5 linked regions of the Callithrix jacchus genome follow. The protein of the gene in region 1 interacts with the protein of each later gene in a biochemical or structural test. Links are inferred from orthologs where the notes say so. Each region holds a gene or a part of one and is shown on either strand. Other genes may lie near its edges.

The links.
Region 2: of the proteins of MAPT (region 1) and CSNK1D, one has a biochemical effect on the other in vitro, tested with the Homo sapiens proteins (4 studies listed by BioGRID). The link is inferred for Callithrix jacchus from reciprocal best matches to the Homo sapiens genes MAPT and CSNK1D.
Region 3: the proteins of MAPT (region 1) and TUBB3 form a complex in vitro, tested with the Homo sapiens proteins (3 studies listed by BioGRID, with this or other methods). The link is inferred for Callithrix jacchus from reciprocal best matches to the Homo sapiens genes MAPT and TUBB3.
Region 4: the proteins of MAPT (region 1) and UBE2W are reported together in a solved structure, tested with the Homo sapiens proteins (2 studies listed by BioGRID, with this or other methods). The link is inferred for Callithrix jacchus from reciprocal best matches to the Homo sapiens genes MAPT and UBE2W.
Region 5: of the proteins of MAPT (region 1) and MAPK11, one has a biochemical effect on the other in vitro, tested with the Homo sapiens proteins (2 studies listed by BioGRID). The link is inferred for Callithrix jacchus from reciprocal best matches to the Homo sapiens genes MAPT and MAPK11.

Annotation. Positions count from the first base shown.
Region 1 is NC_133506.1:86,763,000-86,766,499, reverse strand, and holds part of MAPT (microtubule-associated protein tau), read right to left. Parts: intron 2,290-3,500; coding exon 2,074-2,289; 3' UTR 1-2,073. UniProt on the Homo sapiens protein: Promotes microtubule assembly and stability, and might be involved in the establishment and maintenance of neuronal polarity.
Region 2 is NC_133506.1:137,884,437-137,887,936, forward strand, and holds part of CSNK1D (casein kinase I), read right to left. Parts: intron 2,299-3,500; coding exon 2,127-2,298; intron 1,757-2,126; coding exon 1,617-1,756; intron 1-1,616. UniProt on the Homo sapiens protein: Essential serine/threonine-protein kinase that regulates diverse cellular growth and survival processes including Wnt signaling, DNA repair and circadian rhythms. It can phosphorylate a large number of proteins.
Region 3 is NC_133521.1:47,572,326-47,574,484, reverse strand, and holds the end of TUBB3 (tubulin beta-3 chain), read right to left. Parts: intron 1,868-2,159; coding exon 792-1,867; 3' UTR 501-791; downstream 1-500. UniProt on the Homo sapiens protein: Tubulin is the major constituent of microtubules, protein filaments consisting of alpha- and beta-tubulin heterodimers. Microtubules grow by the addition of GTP-tubulin dimers to the microtubule end, where a stabilizing cap forms.
Region 4 is NC_133517.1:29,502,969-29,506,468, forward strand, and holds part of UBE2W (ubiquitin-conjugating enzyme E2 W), read right to left. Parts: intron 3,157-3,500; coding exon 3,001-3,156; intron 1-3,000. UniProt on the Homo sapiens protein: Accepts ubiquitin from the E1 complex and catalyzes its covalent attachment to other proteins.
Region 5 is NC_133502.1:218,842,696-218,846,635, forward strand, and holds the end of MAPK11 (mitogen-activated protein kinase 11), read right to left. Parts: intron 3,931-3,940; coding exon 3,901-3,930; intron 3,813-3,900; coding exon 3,765-3,812; intron 3,687-3,764; coding exon 3,572-3,686; intron 3,270-3,571; coding exon 3,198-3,269; intron 2,962-3,197; coding exon 2,882-2,961; intron 2,418-2,881; coding exon 2,339-2,417; intron 2,254-2,338; coding exon 2,080-2,253; intron 1,788-2,079; coding exon 1,708-1,787; 3' UTR 501-1,707; downstream 1-500. UniProt on the Homo sapiens protein: Serine/threonine kinase which acts as an essential component of the MAP kinase signal transduction pathway.

The DNA of each region.
Region 1 (3,500 bases):
GTCCTAATCCTGTGCTTCAGGCCCTCACAGCTGAAGGGCCTCCTTCGATGCTAGAATCTGGTCTCTGTTGGGTCCCAGGTGCTGATGAAAGCCTTATAAAACTTGGGAGGCCCCAGCAGGTTGGAGCCACACTGGCCTGGAACTGAGTCCCAGCATGGGGGTGAGAGACACCTTGTGAGGGTGGCTTAGAAACCTCTTTACAAGCATTTCAAGATACATGCGTCCTTTTTTTTTTTTTTTTCACTATCATAGTCACTCTGGTGAATCCAAGCATTAACAGACAAATCCAACTACAACGCAACAGGGTACAGATGGGGAGGGCAGGGCAATATCTATGTATATGTTTAGCTGCTCCAGCAGAACAGACAGCATGGCTTCCAGCTGGGACTGGGGGGAAAACCATTTCCGAGGGGGCGTGTTCCCCTTTCGGGGGTGTGGAGGGCTGATTCTATGCATGTGGAGCTGAGCAGCGGCTGGGCTGTCTGGGAGGCTGGCAGCCACAAGCTGGGGTAGAAGTGGGAGACAGCGGGACTGTGGGCCTGCCCTGGGTGCCTTGCCCACCTGTCCTAGTGCCATGACTGACAACCAGGACACCCAGCCTCCTGCTGCCAGCTCAGCACCGGAAGGGGCCAGGCCTTCTGGGGGCAAAGGGCTCTCTCCACATCAGCAAGGTAGAAACATCTAGGGTCACAGCTGAGCAGTGCCCTGGCTCACATCTGTGAAGGGAGGACGAGGCAGGGAACAGAATCAGGTCATGAGATTCGTGGTGAGGGGCACACCAGTTAGATGACTGACACTGAGAGTGAGAGGCTGGGGTCCCACTCTTGTGCCTGGATTTTGCCTTCCCTTAATTTTGCCCTCAGTATGGAGTAGGTACCTCCCGAAGCCAACCTCCCGCAGGGTCATTACTGATAAGTAGGTGGTGACATGGTGACGTGATGTGGGATACAGGCAGTGAATGGGCTCTCATGGCAAACAGTGGCACGGCGGGGCAGACGGGTGATGGCAGTGGCCATGGGAAGGACAGGAGGCTCAGGACCCACTTCCCAGACCCCTGTACACTCCAGAGATGCCGGTGGCCCAGGCTTGGAAACAGGTGGATGTCTCCCAATAGGCACAAGTCCTTACAAAGAGAACTGGTTAGCCCTAAAGTCCCAGGTCTGTGAGGTGGCCAAAATCGTGGCTGCAGTTCCAACCTTCAGAACTCAATAAAACAGGGTTTTGTGGAGCAGAGAGAAGTCCCTCAGCTCAGGCCCCCCACCCTGCAGAGAGGGAGGAAGAGGCCAGCGCCCTCAGATGTCAAGATCAGTCTTCTCCAAGGAAATCATCCATGGGGCACCACCCTCCCGCCGGCCTGCCTTCTCCTCTTGCCCGCTGTCCCTTCTCCCACAGGCTGCCCAGCAGAGGGTGGCACACCGACCCGTAGCAGGCCCCAGCCACAAAGGACAGGCACCACTTGGTCTGAGATGCTGCAGGCAGCGGAGGCCTTGGCCCTCCCATCGGCATGGAGTGGGGCAGCATCTCCTCTCCAGCATGTGGCTTCCTCTCCCCTCTGCCCAGCCCCTGCCTTGGCCTCCCACTCCACCCCCGTCACACTCACACAAGGCTGACATCATCTGCCTGTGGCTCCACAAACACACCAAGTTTCAAATCTTTTGTTGCTGCCGCTGCCTCTGTGACACCCCCTGGATTGGGCCAGAGGTGGTGGACACCCCCAGTCCCTTGAAATCCCCCAGAAGCAGCTTTCAGAGCCTCTCCTCCCTCTTCTACACAGAGGGAGGGAAAAAATCAAAAGGAATTGCCCTAGGAAATGTTGGGTGTGGCCATGTTTTTGAGTGTTTTTAAAAAATATTAGCCCACCCATCAATTTGGAAAGATGAAATTTGCTCTTATTCCCATCACTGATTTTGAAGTCCCGAGCCAAAGCCGAGCAACAAAAGCATGTTAAGTGATTAACCGAACTGCGAGGAGCAGCTGGGGGCAGAGGGTGGGGGCCGGGTCATTATTCTTTTTTTTTCCACACACTCTCACTCTCTCTCCTCTCCACGATTACTGACTGCCCCGGAGGCCTGATCACAAACCCTGCTTGGCCAGGGAGGCGGACACCTCGTCGGCTAACGTGGCAAGCTGGGGCGAGTCTACCATGTCAATGCTGCCGGTGGAGGAGACGTTGCTGAGGTGCCGTGGAGATGTGTCCCCAGACACCACCGGAGACTTGTACACGATTTCCGCCCCGTGGTCTGTCTTGGCTTTGGCGTTCTCACGGAAGGTCAGCTTGTGGGTTTCAATCTTCAAGGAGAAGAGGGAGGGTGAGATAAAGTGCCAGAGAAAGGGAGACAAGCCCTGCCAACTGTCCCGCCAGGTCTGGCCCACAGTGCCAAGGACTGGTTTTGTTTTTGAGACAGGGTCTTGCTCTGTCGCCCAGGCTGGAGTATAGTGGCACAATCTCACCTCACTGCAGCCTCAACCTCCTGGGCTCAGGTCATTCTCCCACCTCAGCCTCCCGAGTAGCTAGGATTACAGGCATGCACCACCACACCTGGCTAATTTTTTGTATATTTAATAGAGATGGTGTTTTACTATGTTGCCTAGGCTGGTCTCAAACTGTTGGACTCAAGTAATCCACTTGACTCGGCCTCCCAGAGTGCTGGCATTACAGGTGTGAGCCACCACACCTGGCCAGGAGCTGTTTTTAGTGTCTTCCAAATGGTAATACCTGTGTCCACTCCTCCCCTGATCTGCCTCCCAGGCACCCAGATACCCTCCCCAGAGACAGTGGTCATTTTCAGTTCCTTATGGATCCTCCAGAGATATTTCATCTATAAACACATGTGTGAGTACATACATACAAAGGCTGCTTAGTATTCCCTCCCCGTGGATGTACCAAAAGGCATCTACTCTGTGGCTGGAGGTTTAGGCTGCTCCTGCCTTTGGTGATTACAGGCAATGGTGTGTATGAACAACAGGGATAAACAACCCTGTATGAACATGTCACACACGTGTAAGTGGGTCCTAGAAGTAGAGCTGTTAGGTCAAAAGGCATGCACATTTTGAGACATATTGCCAGATTGCAAAGGAAAATGTGGAAAGAGAAGCTGGAGAAGATCAAGGATGTCTCCCAGAGCCACTGATGCCCAGACATAAGCCACACAAATTCCTCCTGTTTGCCAGTGACTGATGAGTTTGGAGGTGGCAGCAACTGTGGGCAGTGCTGGCAGGCGGGCCACAAAACATGACGTGACAAAGGCCTGTTTGTGGGTGGGTGGGTGTATGATTTAGGATGGGGATTGTCTAGTGACTTATCTATCCATCTATTATCTATCTGTCATCTACCTATCTACTTGGAGATGGGGATCTCACTATATTGCCCAGACTGGCCTCAAATTCCTGGGCTCAAGCAATCTTCCCACCTTAACCTCCTGAGCAGCTGGGACTACAGGTTCATGCCACTGTGTCTGGCTGAAGCCCTTTTGAAAGTAGAGAGACATGACATAGCCAGG
Region 2 (3,500 bases), about 51 Mb from region 1:
GGGCTACAGAACCACCATGTGTCAAGAAAACAGGTGGGCACGGGCAGACCCTCCTGGGGCCTGCTCCCAGTAATTGAGGTGTGAGTGCCAGGCTCGTGGGAAGAAACCTGTTAAACCATTTCTGTGTCTGGAGGTGAGACCAGGGCTGTGTGCATGTAAGGGACCACTCTCTTGATGCAGGCCGGACCCCTCATGCCCAATGCAAATAACTACAAAGTCAAAATCTCTGCATCTTTGGTTTCTTTGAGAGAATGTTACCATATAAGAAATCCATTTCTAGTTAAGTTACTAGTGAATTAGAAACGTGCAATAAACTCACTTTTTTTTTTTGAGGCAGAATCTTACTCTGTCGGCCAGGCTGAAGTGCAGTGGCACGATCTCAGCTCACTACAATCTCTGATTCCTGGGTTCAAGTGACTCTCCTGTCTCAGCCTCCCAAGTAAGCAAGGATTACAGGTGCCTGCCACCACACCCAGCTAGTTTTTCAAAAAAATTTTTTTTCCAGTGAAGATGGGGTTTCATCATCTTGGTCAGGCTGGTCTTGAACTCCTGACCTCATGATCCACCTGCCTCGGTCTCCCAAAGTGTTGGAATTACAGGCGTGAGCCACCATGCCCGGCCTAAACTCACTTATTAAAAGATAGCAAGTGGCCAAGAGTGCTCCCCACACCGGCGCTTTCCTGGCTAGCCAGCTACACCAAGCCCTGCTCACGACAGTGGGCCTGGCTCCATCCTGTGACCCCAAGAGACACTGCCCCACAAGCCCACAGCCAGACTCTAGGACGTTTCTGAACTGAGTTCCTGCTCATCCAGAAGACCTGTGGGGAATCTGGGTACCCCGAGGATTCCTGCTAGTGAAACACAGCCATGACAGGGCAACCCTGCCCCTGTTGGTGAACAACCCAGAACACTCTGAAGAAACACAACAGATTCATAGGTAGAAAGCTGTTCTGGTTCGAAGAGCACATTAGTAAACGCAAAAGACAACAAGCCAGAGCGAGGAGAGGAGAAGAGAGGCTGCTGGAGGAGGATGCTGACGAGGCGGCACCTGTGGCCAACCCGGGCTGCCTGCCTTTGCTGCGAAGCAGGGGTGCTTCTTATCTGAAGGAAGACAGACAAGGCCGTCAAAAGAATGGAAGCCTCGCTGCAGGGCACACTAGCAGAGAGGGTCTTATGAGGAGCCTGTGGAGGTCCCTACAGGCCTCCAACCCTGGCCAGTGGCAAGAATGAGGAAGGTTCTTGGGCCAGGGCACTCACCAATGCACCCCGGATGAGGCGTGAGCAGGCGAGTGCTGCTGCCTGCGTGGGGATAGCTGGGGCGGCAGGGCACTCAAATGGCAGGAGAAAACCCCCACGGTCTGCTGGCCTCGGGCACCTGAGACCTGAGACTGGCCATCTGTGACCAGAAGACGAGCCCTGTGATGGCCCGGCCTGTCTCCCAGGCTCTCCCCAGAAGCCTCATCAGCAACCAGGCCACCACGCCTCAGCGAGATTAAAAACTCTCAAAAATGGGGGAAAAAAGGAAGGAAGGAAACACGCCCTTCAGAAATCACAGCCTGCTCTGGACTTGGATGGCACAGTCAAGGCCGGTGCCCACCCAGGAGCTCTGCACCTACCTGTGAGGTGGACATGCGAGAGGTATCTTGTCGGCCCGTGAGGTCGGAAGAGGAGATGTTGACGGGCGCCCCGCGGTGCAGCCGCATACTCACTTTCCGCTCTCTCTCCATGCCAGAGACGGGCCGGGGGGAGGTGTTAGCTGAGAGAGGAAGAGAAATGGAGTGGGCTGCCCCTGGCTGCTGCTTGCCACTCAGGGCTTTCTTCCTGTGAGAGGCTGTGGCCGGAGAGGACCCTGGGCTGCCTGGACAGTCAGGAGCCGGCAGAGCTGATGGCCACCAACACTCAAATCCAGCCGGAGGAACAAAGGAGAAACATGGGATACGGGAGGAATCACACACACCAGCAGGTGCCTGCATTTCTAAAGGCGCCCAGGCAGCCCGGCTCATCCACTCTCAGGAGTAAGCATCACCTGACGTGGGAAATTCACAGTGTCCACCACCAAGTGCATTGCCCCCACCAACCCTGAGACACAGGAAGCCGTCCCAGAGTGCTGGGAGGGGGGCACTCACCTGTGTGTGAGGTAGGGGTAAGGGGTGTGGGGGGAGCCACTTCCTGCGTCCCCCGAAGGCGGCCAGAGGCTGTGGAAGGGAGGCCGCGGGTGGCCGGGTTCCGCGAGTGTCTCAGCCGCTCCTCTCGGTCCCTGCGCTCCCGCTCAGCGTCGTCGGCAGCCCGGCTGGCACCCTGAGGAGGAAGGAGGTGAGGCCGGGATGGAACCGGATTTGGCAGAAAGCAACCCCAGGTTCTGGGCTGCCCCAGCCATGTGAGTAAATACCTACCAAAGGGCACTGGGGCTCAAGACTGGCTGCGAAGCCGCCCGCATACTGCACAACGTTTCTCTCCATGGGATGCCAGTGCCATCCCAGAAAGGGGTCAGAGCCAGGCCTCTAAGCTCCCCCAACAATTGAAAAAACCCCACTCGCCACAGCACTTCCCTGGGGGATCAGAACTTCCTTAAACTTCAAAATGGGCAGCAGCTGGGCTGCCTGCTCCTCTGTGAACATCCTCACTGACACGTGCAGGGAAAGGAGCGGAACAGGAACCACTGGAGGCCAGAGACAGGCCCCAAATGGTGACAGCTGGGGAGGAAAGTGGGGCGGGGATGAGAGCGTTTGGTCAGATAAGGAGTCCACTCAGGGTCCAGACCCTGCGGCCCCCAACAGTCTGCATAGGTGTGGAGGTGAGGCCGGCAGCAGGTCTGTGCTGCACCATCCAGATGCATGGGGGTGGGGAGATCAGCTTTTAAGCCAAGACAGCAGCCTACGAAAGAGTAGATTCTAACTGCCAATGCTGTGCAGCAGGGGCCTGCAAACTACTGCCCCAGACCCAAACCCAGCTACCACCTTTTCCTGCAAATAAAGCTCACTGGACACAGCCACGTCCACTGGACTACACACAGCCCAGCCTGCTCTGAGGGCCAGGGGACTCCAACACAGCAGGAGGGTGGCTCTGACACCTCCCGAGGCAGCACAGCCCTGCCAGAGGACTGACCCGCCCTACAGAGCCCACCCCACCCAGCACCTGGAGGTGCTGAGGCCCGGACCAGGACACCCCCGCCCCGCCTCGACCCTGCACCACCATCGGACATGGCTGCCATTTTTGTATCCTCCCAAGAAGCAGTTCTGCTACTTCATTAGACTGTCACCTGCAAAAGCGCCAACCTTTTCTATTCAAAACTGATAACTAAACAGTTTTTAATGAAAGAACACAACAGTTACAGAGGAGCTTCAATTCTGGCAGTGGCATCTGAATAATTAAGCTCAGACAGTGAACCCAAGGCTGGGCTGCTCCAGGGCATTCTCACACCCACACCCAGAAAGCCACAGGCAAAACCAGCTCATGACAGGGTCAGGCTGGACCAGCTGCACCTCACTAGGCCCCAACCC
Region 3 (2,159 bases), on another chromosome or scaffold:
TCTTGTGGCCACATCTCCCCTACCCCAGCAGCCCCTCCCAGAGCCCCAGCCCCAAGACACCCGACACACGGTCTTCAGCGAGTGCTCGGGGCCCCTTCCCTACCTCCCCGGTTCTGACCTGAGGCTTCCGGTCTAATGTCAGTTTCCACCTCCACAGGGACCACCTGCCCCAACTTTCAGCACACAGACAGGTGGGAGAAGTTTCCAGAAGGCAAGCCACTCTGAGGGACCAGGGAGTGAGCGCAGGGTTGTTTCTAAGTCACAGGAGGGCTGCGGATTTATCTAGGCAGGCACTGCCCGTTCCTTCTCCCGGGTCCCTCCTTCTAGGAGATCCCATGGGCTGTGCCTTGAGACACCCTCCAGCCCCAAGCACAGGCCTCACTCAGCCACCAGCCTGTGAGAGAATGGGCTCCAGCCTGTCCACGCAGGCCTCCCTGCCAGCCCCTCCACCCACTGGACACCACTTTCCGGAACAAAAGGAAGTCGCCGGCACAGGCAAGTGTATCTGACAGCAATAGATTTATTAAGTATCCCCAAAAATATAAACGCAAACCAGTAAAAAACAAAACCGTAAAACATCAGGCCAGGAGCTGCATTAAGACAGAGACAGAGCAGCCACAGGTGGCCCGGGTGGGGAGGAGGAGGCCGTAAATACTGCAGGAGGCGGCACGGGAGCCCGAGGGTGGGGGAATAGCAGGGGACGGTGGTGGCAGCAAGATGGCTCTGGGGGTCAGGCACTGCTGGCCTTGGCCCCGGCCGCCACCTGCCCCTCACGCCAGCTGCAGGCAGCTTCACTTCGGGCCCTGGGCCTCCGACTCCTCGTCGTCATCTTCATACATCTCGCCCTCCTCCTCAGCCGTGGCGTCCTGGTACTGCTGGTACTCGGACACCAGGTCGTTCATGTTGCTCTCAGCCTCGGTGAACTCCATCTCGTCCATGCCCTCGCCCGTGTACCAGTGCAGGAAGGCCTTGCGCCGGAACATGGCCGTGAACTGCTCAGAGATGCGCTTGAACAGCTCCTGGATGGCCGTGCTGTTGCCGATGAAGGTGGAGGACATCTTGAGGCCGCGGGGCGGGATGTCGCACACGGCCACCTTCACATTGTTGGGGATCCACTCCACGAAGTAGCTGCTGTTCTTGCTCTGGATGGCCAGCATCTGCTCGTCCACCTCCTTCATGGACATGCGGCCCCGGAACACAGTGGCCACGGTCAGGTAGCGGCCGTGGCGTGGGTCGCAGGCAGCCATCATGTTCTTGGCGTCAAACATCTGCTGGGTGAGCTCGGGCACGGTCAGGGCCCGGTACTGCTGGCTGCCCCGGGCCGTGAGGGGCGCGAAGCCGGGCATGAAGAAGTGCAGGCGGGGGAAGGGCACCATGTTCACCGCCAGCTTGCGCAGGTCGGCGTTGAGCTGCCCTGGGAAGCGCAGCGAGGTGGTCACCCCGCTCATGGTGGCCGACACCAGGTGGTTGAGGTCCCCGTAGGTGGGCGTGGCCAGCTTGAGGGTGCGGAAGCAGATGTCGTAGAGCGCCTCGTTGTCGATGCAGTAGGTCTCATCTGTGTTCTCCACCAGCTGGTGGATGGACAGCGTGGCGTTGTAAGGCTCCACCACCGTGTCGGACACTTTGGGCGAGGGCACCACGCTGAAGGTGTTCATGATGCGGTCGGGGTACTCCTCGCGCACCTTGCTGATGAGCAGCGTGCCCATGCCAGAGCCCGTGCCCCCGCCCAGCGAGTGGGTCAGCTGGAAGCCCTGGAGGCAGTCGCAGTTTTCACACTCCTTCCGCACGACGTCCAGGACCGAATCCACCAGCTCCGCACCCTCCGTGTAGTGGCCCTTGGCCCAGTTGTTGCCGGCCCCACTCTGACCTATGCAGGGAGAAGAGGGGTAGCAGGTGGGGTCGTGGGCTCTGCAGTCCAGACTCCAGCCCCATGCCTGTTCTCTCTTCTGTAGAGTAGGCCCCACTCAGCACCCCCTCACACCCGCTGCGGCTTCCCTGAGCCAGTGGTGCTCGGTGCTCAGGACAAGGGCTCTGGACAAAGACTTGAGAACTTGGGGTCACCCCAGAGCCGTGCTCTCCCTCCTGAGGGGACCCAGAATGAATGGACCAGCCCTCCTGCTCCAACCCACCTTCCTTCTGACTGGCAGTGCCAGGAACCT
Region 4 (3,500 bases), on another chromosome or scaffold:
AGCAGGACGGAAAACAGCAAGTCAATTTGACACTTCTAAAATTCATATATATACATAACTTTCATCCTAGTTGAACCTCATAATGCCCTGTGTGTTAATATTAATTTAACAACAATAAAAAAATGTTACAGCACAAGACATGAAAGTATCCCAAGTTAATCTGGGGATACAATTAGAGAAAATTCCTAAAAAATTAATATTATGAAATTAGATACTTCAAGGAAGGGATGATTCTACAAAGTCAAATCTATGTTCATACGGAATTGGTACTACTACAGCAAATAATTTCACAAATTCATTTTATGTATATATTGATTAGAACCCAAGAATCATCAGAAAAGTCTTCAAAAAATATTTAGAAAAAAATACCCATTCTCATTTGCTTAAATCACCAATCTCCCTCTTAAGTGATCAGGGAGATATTGTTCTTAGAAAAGAAACTAAACAAAAGAAAGCTTATGAAATTGTTTTAGGAATGGGATACAAACTGCAAAGTGTGAACGATGTAAGTGTATTATAAAGGCATGTGAGTAAAGTGGCATTTACTGAAAGGCCCATGATCAAAATATCAGAAATTATCTTTAATCCACTGTAATCTAATGACATACTGAATTTAAATACCTTCAGCTCATGGAACCACTCCTGACTGTGTAAAAGGAAACTGGAATAAAAGAATTATGACTAGAGTCTCAAACACCTAAAGTAAAATATTTTAATAGTAATAGAATTAACTATCAAAGTAAAGCCCATAGAACCATGTCTACTACAGAATAAACTTTACCCATTTTAACAGTAAAACATGTAAGTGGGTATTTAAAATACTGTTTTGTTTTGTTTGAGGCAGAGTCTTGCTCTATTGCCACAGGCTGAAGTGCAGTGGTGCGATCTCAGCTTACTGCAACCCTGACCTCCTGGGTTTAAGCAATTCTCGTGCATCAGCCACCCAAGTAGCTGGGTCTACAGGCATGCACCACCACACCCAGCTAATTTTTCTATTCTTAGTTGATGGCGTTTAGCCATTTTGCCTAGGCTGGTCTCGAACTCCTGGCCTCAAGTGATCCACTGCACCTTGCCTAAAAGACTTTTTAAGGTTTCTTTGGAGCTGGATCCTCTCAATGCCAAAGAAAATTTCCTTTTCATCTTTGTAACTTATCACTTAGCACAGTAAAAGTAGCACATACTAGTAAATTTTTTGAATTTTATCATATTTGATGGAAATCCTGACTTCCAGATCATCTTGTTAAACATATTATACAATGGTAACAGTAAAAATACAGTTTATTAGTGCTTTAAATGGAATGATTAGTCTTATATTAAGTATGCAAGAAACACTATTAGCAGACAATTAGAATGTAAGGGGAACCGTGAAGGTTAAATGATGATGAAGAAAACATACAGAATATAGTCATTCTCTAGTTTTTAATAATAATACATTTAAATGTAAACAAAATCTAATAATCATGAGGCACATGCAAGACTATATACAGATATCGCTGATGTTCACCTCTTCATAACTTTCTTATTAAATCCTGTTGTTACCATCTTACCTTTCTATAGACTTAAAGCATAACAGGAACATAGAAGGCCTTATACCCACAAACTGCTTTGCCCTACACATAAAAGTTTAACACTTGTATGTGCTGGGGTGGGTGAGAGGAGAAAATATAAAAGCAATAAGCAACAAATGAGTAAAAACAAAACAAAAGCAATTTAACCCATTATTTCATATGCTGTGGCTTAGAGTGCTTCCGGTTCTAAATAACCTATCATTTTAAAATGAACTATTATCTTAAACGTTCTCCAAATACTAATTTAATAAAAATGGCAATCAGTTCAATTTGGAGAACAGAGAAGAAAACTGCAAAACACAAATAGCTCCCTAACTACGAGGGCAAATTTGTTTTTCCTTTAAACAGAATGCAAAAGGAAACCCTCATGGGGATTTAAGAGGGATTTTAAAATGTAGAAATACATGAATATTATGCTATACTAACCCTCAAGCAGGAATAAGAGGATCAGAAATGCACAGAGGATTCAGACACCTTTAAAGGGTATAAGGGTATCCTAAATTTATGTATGTATTTTAAATTTACTGTATTATTTTTGAGATGGAGTCTCACTCTGTCACCCAGGCTGGAGTGCAGTAGCACGATCTTGGCTCACTGAAACCTCTGCCTCCTGGGTTCAAGCGATTCTCCTACCACAAGTCTCTCACACAGCTGGGATTAGAAATGCACACCATCACATCCAGCTAATTTTTGTATTTTTAGTAGAGACGGGTTTCACCATGTTGGCCAGGCTGGCCTCTAACTCCTGACCTCAGGTGATCTGCCTGCTTCGGCCTCCCAGCAAAGTGCTGGGATTACAGGCATGAGCCACGGAAGCCAGCCTACATTTTAAATTTAGTAAGTGATTTTTTCTTTCTGTTTCTCACCCCCCCCACCGCCACTTCCATTAGACAGACACAGAATCTGTGGATTAATAAAGGAGAACAGGAAGAAACATCCTGAAAATTCTACTGGTAAATTGGTCTTCCTCCTTCAACCTAATTATTAGGATAGGAAAGCTCTGGTTCCTGAAAAATTCCCTGAAACATGCTGGTAGGGTGGGAGCTGGCGGAGGGGAGAAGGAAGCTATGATGCATATTTCTGAGGCTTTCCACTGTGAAATCCACAAAAAGAATTTCTTGTACACTTTTACCCTGTGCATGCTTTTGGGAATAAAATCAGATTATTTAAGAACATGTGCACACATTTCCTGTTTAAAAAAATATGAAACAGTAAGTCTGGCTTCTACCCCATTCAACATTTAAAACTTCTATTTGGAATGAAAGGTATCAAAATAATTTTCCAATTTATTATTAAACGTGAAATTCCCTATAGTTTTAAAATAAAAAAGTATAAGTCCTTTCTCCAAATAAAAATAATTACATATTAAAATTGTTTATCTACCTAAAGTGAGAGAAGAGATATTTTCTGGAATAATTCTGAAAAGTCCTACCTTTTCTTTGCAGCTGGAAAGCATGCTAATAATGCTAAGACAAACTGATTGGACTGAGAGCGCTGGGGACCAGTCTTCTGTTAGAATGGATAAACAGATATGACCATTGCTATAAACATGAGGATGAACAGGAATATTTTCACCAGTAAACATGACCTAAGAGAGAATAAAATTCCATTAAAACTCAAATATTCTCTATAACCAAAAACTAGTCTCCACATATAACAAGTATTGACTGTACAAAAACAAAATAAAAACAAACCAAAATCAGTGCCAGGAACATGATAAACAACTGCTTATTTGTTTACTCTCATTAACTCAGTAAGTACTGGTTTCACTGAATGAATAACCATGTAGTAGGGAAAAAAAATCCAAATTATTTTTTATTTTGGTTATTTTTGATAAATTCTCCTTAAAAATTCTAAACTACTACATATTTTTTCACTGTAAGAATGATATTTTCAAATTCTATTCATTGCTCTCTGCATATAAAAATCAAG
Region 5 (3,940 bases), on another chromosome or scaffold:
TAAACTACCGTGTATAGTGGGAATGGGACTATCGCATACATCCCTCAGATTAAAGTGGGCTCTTTAATCTTCAACAGAAAGGAAAGGAAAGCTATTTTCCTTACCCTGCCCAGCCCCACCCCACCAGGGATGGGCAGACCCTTACTCCCTGAGACACCCAACTACTCCCCAGCCAGCCTCCCTGACCACTGTGGGGGGTGGGGTCTGGATCTTGGCCAGAAGCCAAGCCTGCCCAGTACATCCCCATAGGGCAGCTGGGGTCACCATCTGGGTGGCTGTCACACCCTATGCACAGAGCCCACCCATCAGCCATGTCTTCTCTTGGTCCCCCTGGGCTCTCAGACCCTCCGGGGAGCAGGGAGGGTGCCAGAAGATGGCTGCTTGTCTGACTGAGAGACTGAGGGATCTGGCCAGCTGGAGACAAGTGATGAAGGGTGACCCAGACACTTCCCCCACCCCCAGCAGCAGGGCCTGTAGTGGCCTTTGGATATGAGCCGAGCAAGAGAGAACCCCCTTTATTGTGCACCCCTGGTGCAGGCACTTGACACCCAGGCTTTCCTGGGCCCCTCAAGGCAAGAGGTCACCGCCTTTCCAGGGCAAAGCCACACTCCCAACTCAGCTCTGAGCAGGGTCCCATCTTCCAGGGTTATTGGATCAGCTCCATCCTGGGACAAGGAAAGAGGATGACTAACCCGCAGACCAGAGCACCTCCGATCTCTGGCTGCAGGGCCACACGGTGGGCAGAGGTAGAGAGTGGGCCAGGGTGCTGGGACAGGAGTGTCGGAATCCAAGTCCACATCTACGTGTTCGGCCTGCCTTAGAGTCCTCAAGGCTGAACCAACGCCCACCTCCAGCCTCAGGAACCTGCTATAGCTCCCACGTCCGAGGAAAAAGCCCCTACTGTGCTCACGTGGTTCACTGGAGCCTCTAGTCTGAATCCCAACATCCCTCAAGCATCAGGAACTGGGGGGAGGGAAGGCAGCAGCACACCCGCCCCAGCTCAGGGTTCTTGCCAGACATGGCTGCTGTCCCTTGGGTGCTCACGGATTCACATGCACCACATGTGCCCTGCCATGAACACAGGGAGTGCATGCCCATCCACGCGTGCCCACACCCATGGGTGAACACAAGGCTCCAGGCAGCTTTTCTTATTTGATACGTGATGGTTGTCACTGCCCAGCCTGGTGGCACACTGGCTCTGCCTCTCAAGACCTGTGGGTCTCAGCAGTGACCAGGGCAGTCCCCTACTTCTAGGCTGAGCATCTGTAGTGACTGAGACCTCTCCCTTTCAGTCTCCGGGGTTCCCGGCCCCAGTGCGCCCTCCAGAGCCCTGAGACAGAAGAGATCCCTTGGCTGACACTCCCCATGGGTCGGCCTAGGACAGACAGGGGAACTCCCCAGGGGAAGTCCTTTGGCATCCAGGACCCCACAGTCAGGTCCCAGTGGAGAGTGCAGTGGCCAGGAGGGGGCAGGAGGACCAAGGTAGGCCTAGGGACACTTGTGCCCAGACTCCTACACATGGCAAGCACATGTACAACATGTTTGTGCATGCATACGTGTGTGGATTCTCCTGAAGGCAAGGGGTCCTAGACCAGGAGTCAGTGACCATAGGAGTATGGGAGGCGCCTCTTGAGGAAACCAGATCAACTGTGGAAAGGTGCAGGCCCAGGCCCCTCCACAGGCTGTCAGAGGCTACCGGGCAGCACCTCACTGCTCAATCTCCAGGCTGCCAGGCGGCTTCGGTGGCTCTGGGGGCTTGAAGCTGAGGACTTCCTGGTAGGTGAGCTCTAGGAGGTGAAGGGAAAGGGTAAGCTTGTGCCTCCCACAGCCCAGCCTCCCACCTGCTTATCTGGCACCTGCCACCCGGCCCAGGCCCACCACACTATGACAGCAGCCTCAGCACAGAGTCTGGGAGCCAGAACCTGCCCTGTGCCACCCCGCAGCCTGTGCGGACACCTGCATGCCCTTCTGCCCCTGACCAGTCTGGAGAGGAACTGGAGTTCCTCTGGGAACTTCCTGCCTCTGGGGTAAGGCAGCCCGAAGGCCCCTGGACCCAACCCCAGCCACTGCCATGCCCACCCTTCCACTCCTCCACGGTGCGCTCCTTGGCCTCAACACTCTCGTCGTACGGCTCGGCCTCTGGCTCATCCTCAGGGTCATGGTACTGGCTGAAGTAGGCGTGGGCCAGCGCCTCTGCCGCACTGACCCTCTGGTCACTATCCAGCACCAGCATCCTTCCTAGGAGGTCTATGGCTGCAGGAGAGCCATTGGGGGTGGGGGTCAGCTCTACATCCAGGACCAGATATGGAGCCCAGTCTAGCCCCAGGGCAGTCCTCACCCAGGGGGTTGGCTCCGTGGAAGATGCTGCTCAGGTCCTTCTGGGGCATGGGGGGTAAGGACTGGATGTATGTCCGGGCCTGGGAGCAAACAACACCACCTGGGGAGGCTGCTCACTCTCTGCCTCCCTGGCCCCAAACTGGGGCTTCTCTCAGCAAGCCACTACACTCATTCACTCCAACGGGCCAGGACAAGGGCATAGGCAGACCAGTGAACCCCTCTGCGTAGAGCTGGTGGCTCTAGCTCCTCACTTAGCCCCTGATGCCTGCAGGAGCTGGTCACTCCTTGCCCCCAGCCCACCCCCACTGCCATGGCCAGGCACTGCTTGCTGGGATCATGGCTTAGCACCCACCGTCCCTGGTGTCAGGAATGTCTTTGCTGTTCTCCTGTTCCCCCTGCAGGGATTGGGCACCTGCCCTGGGCTCTATCCCACCACGTCCCATGTTCCCCACATTGTCCCTGCATTTCAATACTACCCTCTCCCCCAGAGAGCCTGGGGGCTCAACCAGCAGAGGGAGCTGCTGGCTGGCGGGCACCTACTCACGTGTTCCGAGGAGATCTTTGCCAGAACCTCCGGGCTGGGTGTGCCCACCACTTCCATGATGCGCTTCAGCTGGTCAATGTCTGCATCACTCAGGAAACACCCAGCGGCCAGCCGCGGACCTCTCCTAGGCCCTCAGACCCAAGATTTGGGGCACTGCCCAGAGCCCGCTCTCCTATAGCTGAGGATGGCCACCCCAAGGTAGCATGGCATGCGGGAGGGCAGAGGAGGCAAGACCCACCAGAAGGGGCCAGCACCAGCCCCTACCCTACAGGAGGGGCCCCGTTTGACCCTGCTCCCCAACCTGAGCCAAGGATACAGTCGCTTCCCGGGAAGAGGGCCTTGCCCTGGAGTAGCTCAGCCATGATGCAGCCCACAGACCAGATGTCCACTGTGTGAGGGCGGGGGGCCTCCGTCAGTGTGCCCACCCCACATCCCTCCTCCAGGAGACCCGAAGTCACATCCAGACCCCAAGACAGGTAGACCCCCTCCTCTGCCACATGCAGCCCTGGGCAGGGGGAGGCGACAGCTGCGGGGCCAGAAGGGTCCAGCACCCATCATGTTCTAGCAGCCTCTGAAGGGCTGCTTTTGAATGTGGGTCTCACATTTTTGGGGACCTTGCCTGCCCACCAAGAGTGAGCATGCAGGGCCAGGGCCTTTGGCCTCCGTCCCGGCCAGGCCTTCCCCCTGCACCTGTCTGGTTGTAATGCATCCAGTTGAGCATGATTTCAGGGGCCCGGTACCAGCGCGTGGCCACGTAGCCCGTCATCTCTTCGTCTGCCTGGCGGGCCAACCCGAAGTCCAGGATCTGGGGCGACCACAAGGTGTTTTCAAGCCCCGAACAGGCTCCGCCGCCACCCTGCCCACCCCTGCCCACAGGCCTCACCCTGAGCTCACAGTCCTCGTTCACAGCCACGTTGCTGGGCTTCAGGTCCTGCAGGTCACTACGAGCGTGAGCGTGAGGGCAGGAGGCCGGGGCAGAGCCCTGCCAGACCCAACCCTCACCCTGCGGCCGCACCTACCCGGTGGATGATCCCGGCCGAGTGGATGTACTGCGGGAGG